2 linked regions of the Lytechinus pictus genome follow. The protein of the gene in region 2 interacts with the protein of the main gene of each other region in a biochemical or structural test. Links are inferred from orthologs where the notes say so. Each region holds a gene or a part of one and is shown on either strand. Other genes may lie near its edges.

Region 1 (3,929 bases), on a different chromosome or scaffold from region 2:
CTACCAGTTGATAGAGCAGGGGGCTACATGTATGTACATATAACCCTCAATTAGGGTCACTACATGTATCTTTAATAGCATGCTATCTTTGCAGTGAACCATGGAGAAAAGCTGGATTTTTCCTTGAGGTCATACTTTTATTGAGCAGCATTTCCAATTCTCCTTCCCTTTTTACCTCCATTCTAAAACCGGTTCTTGTTCTTCTTTGTTAGCTTCAGAGAGATCCTACATATATGTAGATTACATGTAGAATCAAATGGCTGAATTTTTTGTTCAAATATGACAATCGTGAAACTATGCAAATGTCTTGTAGATTTGCTGCAGTGAGCAAAACACCAATCCTTGGTTAAAATGGGACTGGGGCAACCAAAAAAAGAGAGTCAGGCCACCAAAATTCTGTTAAAACCCACACTTGGTGGCCCGATTAGTCCACCAAAATCATCAATTTCATATTTTTTGGTGACCAGCAAAGCAAATTTGGTGTCCCTAAAACAATAGACAACATTACAATTTATCAAGACTTTGGTAGCCCAATCAAGCCACCAAGTGTGGGTTTTAACATAATTTTTGGTAGCCCGACTCTTATTTCTGGTTGCCCCGGGCCAACAGGCCACTGCTTATGTCGAGCCCTGCCTCAAATGTCTACTGTCTCCAGCACCAGAGGCTATCAAAAACCTACAATTTCAAAGACAAAAGTTCTTCGGTTTGGAAGACGGGGCCCTATTTCTTGGACGCATCAGCTCCACACACTCTCTTTGAAAAGTCAAGGTACACCCTGTACAATGTACATGTACATGTAGACAATACCCTAATTCGACAAAGTGCAGGCGCATGGACTTTACACATGTAAAGCACATATCTGTTCACAGACCATTGTTCTCGAGCTTTGCTTTCCATTGAGAGTGAGTCTATCTGGAGTTCTTTGTTTTCATGATGCTGGCCCGTTTTCTTTATTTTCATTTTAATATTTGGGTATTTGTGATTCTGATTGGTGGAACTTGAAGTTTTGTCAAATTCTTAGAAAACATTGTTTTTGATATGATTGAATTTATGAAAGTGATCAGTAATACATCACTTTCCTGCGTTTGTTTTCTTTGTTGGTTATTCCAAATATAAAAGAGCACATTAAATTTTGTTTATGAGTATGACATGTGGGAACGCTGCATTTCATGTCAGTGCAAAAACGCTAACACCACACTTTCGTTCATCACATCCGCACAAAAATGCCATTTCTGCACCGATGTGGTTGGCGATGTTTCGCTAAGGAGTACGGGCTTTCTTGCACCAACACAATTTTTTGCGTAATTGCTTTAGTTGATCTTGTAGCAGCTGGATTTTTTACACATATCTAAGCAACAACTTGCGAACAGTCACAGCTCAGAGTCAGAGTCAGAGAGGTGGTCAGTGGTCAATAGTTACGACTCAAGACAAAAGGTGGATCAAGTGAAAAGCAAGTACCAGTAGCTAACATGATAATAATGTTAAAACATGTTTTAGAATTTAATTTTCATCCATTCATCATATTTTTTGTTATTCTACAGATATTATCATTCATTTGACTTCATACAGCAGCAGCAGTGAACAAGATTCCACACTCCACTGCACTGCTACTGCACTGCCACTGGCCTGGCACTGCACAAATCCAGCTCTGTCACTTCACACTTCATGTTGTTATGACTTATGTTAACACATCATTTGCCTGTGTGATTAAATTTTCATTTTTCAGTAGGCTATGGTGATCCACAATACGTACCCAAGAGCAATAATTTTACTTCTCTAGCTGCTTTTTCTCCTTCTAACCGTAGATTTCTGTCAATCATTTTCGACCGCTCAGCGGCCGCTTTATCTTCTGCGCTCGTAGCGCACCCCATTTTGGAATAATAAAATAACGTTTATGCACAGTCCAGTAAGTTAAGAACAGCCGGTCAGACACTCGGTCTGAATGTCTACAAACCGTCGATATATCCTCTTTATTCTCCAAACTCTAGAGTCCTTGGTAGTTCCATTTAAAATTGGTTATCCTGATACAATTGCACCGTCCAGCAGTGTCCAAAACAAGTTATTTTTCCGCACAAAAGTAATGATATTCCGTTCTGCAAGCCTTTCTTCCGTAGAAATTCACCGTATACCACCACACCCCAGTCGAGTCGCGCGTACACACAATACACGTACACCGTACCGTACCACCGGCACACTTTTGCTACACAAGATCAACGGCGAAGCAAAATCGGTACCCGCATAAAATCGCTCATGATGCTTTATCGCGGCCGACCTCTCAGATCGCAATACGAACGTCGTACATCTCTGTGAAAGGCATTATGGGAAATGTCCCGGATTCGAAGCGATATAACAAATTATACACCAGAATTTCAGAAAGGATAAAAATTTGATTGGGCCTAATAAAAAAAAAATTTGGTTCCTCGACCCACGGATCATGGCCCTGGGAAGCAGGGGGTGCTAAGGGTGCTAAAGCACCCCCCAAAAATTCCTTGGGGGTGCAGTGCCAGTGTGTATACTTTATTATTCTCCTGAGGCAGCACACCTGGTAACTTAAACGTTAGGCCTATTCTGGAAGAATTGTGTAAAAATGTAAAAATTATATTTAGATAACCAAAATGACATTCATTTTGTATTGAAAGCTTTGGCAACTTTTAATCCGCATTTTAACGTTAATTAGGTCTGTGGGAGCCTAACTGTTAGATCTATATCTAGGTTTATCCTCGGTTTTAGAAAATTAGGGACATAAACCATTTGCACACAACAGTAGCTGTAGCAAAAAAATATATATTATCCACGTCGTTTTAATATTTTTATTTGTTTGAACCTATGTATAGGCCTATATAATTATACAGATCTATAGCCATTGTTCTTTTCATTCATTTTTTTCAAATATATTTAAATACAAGAGTTGCAAAAGCTATTGTACATGTATAATTTTTTTCACATTTAACATTATATATATATATATATATATATATATATATATTGTGAAAAAAATGGATGAAGAGAACAATGGTAGGCGTAGCTTAAATCAAAGTTCCCCAGGGGGAATATATATATAGGCCTATATATATATATATATATATATATATATTTCTATACATCTGTGTTTAAGGCGAATTATTTTTGTCTTCTTTCGTTGTTTTTAATGCGCCTTAACGCCATCTACCTTCGTCTTTACGTCTATATGTGTATTATGACAGAATAAACCCATTCATTGACTTCGCCCTTTCGTAGGATGTAGGCATATATATATATACATATATATTTCGGCCATATATATATATATACTCAATATATTCAAGTACAACTGAATATATGTATAATGATTTTTTTTTCTTCCTACTATTTTCATTCCCATTCTTGTTGTTCTTCTCTTTACCCATTCTGTGTACCGCCAATAGAGGGCAGCTTCCATTCCAGCATTGGTCCCTTTCATTTCTGTATGTTATGGGCCTATGATAATTTTTCAGTGCATAGATCAGTATTCCCTTTCCTTTGAAAAGAAAACAAATATTCAGGGGGTAGGGCATTTAAGGCCGTATCGACATGGTGCCCCCCCCCCCCTCTCCCCTCTATCTCTCTCTCCCTCTCTCTTCATTTCCCTTTCCTTTCTTTTTTCTTTTCATTCCTTTTCGGATGTCTTGCTTTCCGGCTCCCGAACGAGCAGGTAATTACACATAAGAGGCGATCAAAGACATTATTCTTGTCCAATTTTTTTTCTTTTTTGTCGATGTTGTTAGAGGGGGGCACAATTCTTTTCCTTTTTTTTGGGGGGGGGGAAATATGACTATGAAATAATAAAACGTCCGTGAATACCCTAAATATCAACCTACACACAAGGACAGGGGCTGTCCGTTTTTAACTTCCCCCTGTTTTCTTTTCTTCGTTTCCATTCTTTTGCTTCTCTATCTCCCTCTCTATTTTCA
Region 2 (3,929 bases):
AACACCCGACATTTGATGGAATTTCATGCTTATTTTGCTCATTTCTCAGCAATTACTCATTTTCTTCCAGAGCCACTTGGCACATATTTTGTATTCATACATACACACTTGGGTGGTAATTTTATTGGATTTCTGTTCGAATTCATTTTGAGATCGTTACCAAAACTGGTATTTATCTTTAATCAGGAAAAGGTACATTGGAAAACCATGGATAGATAAAATAGGCCCGTATTCTGAACTCAGGTTTAAATTAAACCCTGGTTTAAAGTTGTGGTTTAACTATGGAGAGCCAATTGTGCACAAATTCCTTTACAGTACACATTCATTTTATTAACTCACATGACACCCAAATTGTTCATAATTGTCTTGGAATGATAACTGAAGTATATTTCTTCATTATGAAAGCAAAAGGAAAACAAAAAAGAAAACAAGAAATATATAATATAGACAGAATTTTTGAAATGTTTGGTTCCCCATAATTTTAGCACAGAGTTAGACCATGGTCTATAAACCTGACTCCAGAATACGGGCCATAGGGTTATATAAGAAGCATAATTATCGACAATCGGCCTATTTCTTAATAATTTGTTGCTTGGCTTTTATTCCTTTGGGACAGTATTGAGGGAAATAAGAGACATTGTACAAGCATACTATATTGAGGGGAATCAGAGGTTATAGCAGGTGATTATTTGTTTACCTCTTTTGTGAATTCCTGCAGTTTGTTACAGATTTCAGTCTCGTTCCCAGATTCAAAGGCCGGCACAGCCGACACCAGTAGCGTGTTCATCTTGGGACGCTGTTCATATGACGAACTTGCCTTGGAAATACAATGTACTTTGTACCTCTTGAGATGTAACCAGAACTTGCACTTCTTCAAATCTGTTCACTATGGAAGTGGAAAACAAAATAGAAAGAAAACATGATGAGAGTTTGTGCTGTGAACACATATGAAATGTGCATGTCTCTTCCTTATGGCCGAATGCAATCACTGTGCATGCACTTTTTCGAATCTGCTTTTAATCTGGAACTTTGAAAAAAATACAATAAGAAAGTGTTCTTTACCTGTGTATGTACATAATACTGAAAAATTGGTTGACGATCTCTGCACTTTTCTAGTAAATAAGGTAATACAGTCTCACCTTTCTTATCCGGCCTCCCCTTATTCGGATCTATTATCCAGACAGACACTTGCCAAGATTTTTTTTTCAATCTAGTACACGGGGAAATGAGATTTCAATTTAAACTCAAAATTCCTATGCAAACTCACTTTGATTACCGTATATACATTTCCAATATAGTCTACCTACAACCACATTATTTTTTATGAAAATATCTTACCCAAATCACCAAAAGAACTAGACAGGATAATTTTCCAGTAAATCGGGGAGCAGCGCAACCATTTCATCACGTTCACTCCTTTTTTTCCAGGAAAAAAACAAAACATGTCTCACTAGATAGTGCGAGGCCTCGATACAGACAGCGCCATCTATCAATGTTTGAGCCTACAGTCATAACAATGGCTGACTTCCCCAACGTTACGGACGCGAGCGTCGCGTAACGTTGGGGAAGTACAATAAGAAACAAGATGGCGGCGTAAACATCGGGCAAGTCTCTTCCGTCTTTTGACAATATTTTTTCATTTTTTTTGATGAATTCTTGTTTAAAAATAACAACGAGAGCGTAGAAATGTGGGAAATGAAGTTTTATCCCATGTACATGATTTAGAGCTAGATCTTTTAGAAGGAAAGTAGAAATCTCGGGGGCGAAAGTTTCAGGGTTTTTTGCGGTACACGCAGATGAATAGGGAGGACTCCCTGGCTTCGTTTAGAGTAAGCCTACGTTAGTAAATGATTTTTACTCTCAAGAAGCCGCCTGGCTACACTGCACCACCATCATCATCATCATCCTCATCATCATCCCCATCCCATCAGCATCATCATCATCATCATCATCGTCATCCTCCTCATCATCATCACCACCACCAAGTCCAAGACCAAAACACCGACATCAATACAATTGTCAATCATCATCTTCGACTTCGTCATCAACACAATCATCATCCATTGATAAAAATGATAAAATTAATAGAGGCTAGAGCTACCTGGCGATTCAGTTTCTGTCCGTCCTGATCCTGTGCTGTGCAATTCGAATCAAGACAATCATGAGTCATGACAATAATTTTAAATAATACTCAAATTAATAGATGATTCGTTGTGGACGAACACAATAGCACTGCCATATTGCATGTACAAGTTTAACAACATGATAATATCCCGCATTCCATTACGATTACGGGCCGCGCCGGTAGCCTACCGGCCTAACACCGCCGACGTGACGCGAGTCACCCCCGAGTGCCGGGCCAGGTAGATCTACCACAAGACATCGATGGTTGAGCCGCGGGTTTGCGTGCAGTCGATTCTCGACCATTTTGCCTTTTGGGGGGACATGATTGCCTTGTTGGCATTATCAGTTTCATTATTTCTCAACTAAACTTACCTCACGCTGTTCTGAACATCTAATTTGGGGTATTTGAAAGACACTGATCTCACTAACAGCTCATCAGGCACAACGGAAAAATAGATGGCTCGTCAACAGGATCAACATCAAAGAAATTTCATGTCGATCGACTGTTCTGATTTTGCATCACACAATATAGTTTGTATTGACATCCCTTATCTAGTTCTATTTTGTGTAATTAATGATTTTTGAAACACTTGATTTTGGGGGTAACATGGGACACCCCGGGCCCGGGGTGCAATCCCCCCCCCCCCCCCCCCTCAGTGTTATTTAGGGTACGCCTATGCTAGTTCCCTCCCTTTGAAAGCACCCCCCTATCGAAGGTCGGCCAAAATTTCTGAACCCGGCCTCAGTTCGAGGGCTTTTCGCTGCATGGCCTTTTCTGCTGTGGAGACCCCCCTAAATCCAGAACACTGCTCAATGTACCCCCTATCTCAGGTGAGCTCTCATTCCAACAAAAGGTTCGTACTTTACTTTTTCAAAATGAAATAATCCTGAATGAGCCTTCAAAACTAGCAGGAATTTCAGAATTTGATCCCGGGATTTGATCAAATTTTCTATGATATTCAAGATATTTTACAACCGTTTAACCCCCTTTAAAATTTCTCAGGGTTCCAAAGAGAGAGTCAGAGAGATAAAAAAAAACACCCCCTTTTTGAAGAAATCTCCGGTGAAAATACAAAAACATCCCCTTTTTTACAATTCGCGGGCCGGACTTGTCCCGGGAAAAAGGGCCCTTTACCGGACATTTTGGGAACACGCATGCGGTCCTTCCGACCTCGGATTGGGGGGGGGGGGGGGGGGGGGGTGCACATCAAGAGGTGGTCAAATTGGACATAAAATGGGGGTGAAATGGGACGACCACAAAATAATCAGTAAACGCACTTCGGAGATTGATGATATAACAAACAATTTTGAACGAAGATATAAGACAAAAAGGGATGATTTTGTGACAGAAGGCCCTTTACAAACTCTAACAGTTAGTTGGTTGAGGAAAAAAAAACATAGTCGCAGAACATTTTAAAGTTTTCCCTCTATAATGAATTGCATACACCATTCTCTCCTCAGTTTCTTCCTGAAAGTTCCTTTTTAATATAGTAACAGGTAGGGTTAGTCTGGTCTATTAAAGATATCATCTAATAGATGATCTACATTTATTCTTAACATTTTCTTATATGACAACTAAATTAACATTTTAACATTGGTAAATTTATTACTAATATGAAAATTCAACCAATTTGATTATTATATGAGCTGAATTTCTACCGCACTGATTCATTTCCAAACTTTTCTTTCATTTCCCCCCTCTCTTTTTTCATTTGAAGATTGCACTTCTGCAATTAATGAGCATACAATTGGTCAAACGTTGTAAACACCGTTTTGAAGAACACAAACAACACTAAAACAACTGT

The links.
Region 1: of the proteins of synembryn-A-like (region 2) and guanine nucleotide-binding protein G(i) subunit alpha, one has a biochemical effect on the other in vitro, tested with the Caenorhabditis elegans proteins (2 studies listed by BioGRID). The link is inferred for Lytechinus pictus from reciprocal best matches to the Caenorhabditis elegans genes ric-8 and goa-1.

Annotation. Positions count from the first base shown.
Region 1 is NC_087247.1:11,665,287-11,669,215, reverse strand, and holds the start of guanine nucleotide-binding protein G(i) subunit alpha, read right to left. Parts: upstream 2,316-3,929; 5' UTR 1,872-2,315; coding exon 1,754-1,871; intron 1-1,753. UniProt on the Caenorhabditis elegans protein: Guanine nucleotide-binding proteins (G proteins) are involved as modulators or transducers in various transmembrane signaling systems. In the 1-cell embryo, probably together with gpa-16, controls nuclear rotation and spindle elongation during mitosis.
Region 2 is NC_087253.1:23,119,924-23,123,852, reverse strand, and holds the start of synembryn-A-like, read right to left. Parts: upstream 2,907-3,929; 5' UTR 2,497-2,906; intron 887-2,496; 5' UTR 788-886; coding exon 698-787; intron 1-697. UniProt on the Caenorhabditis elegans protein: Chaperone that specifically binds and folds some, but not all, nascent G alpha proteins prior to G protein heterotrimer formation, promoting their stability and activity.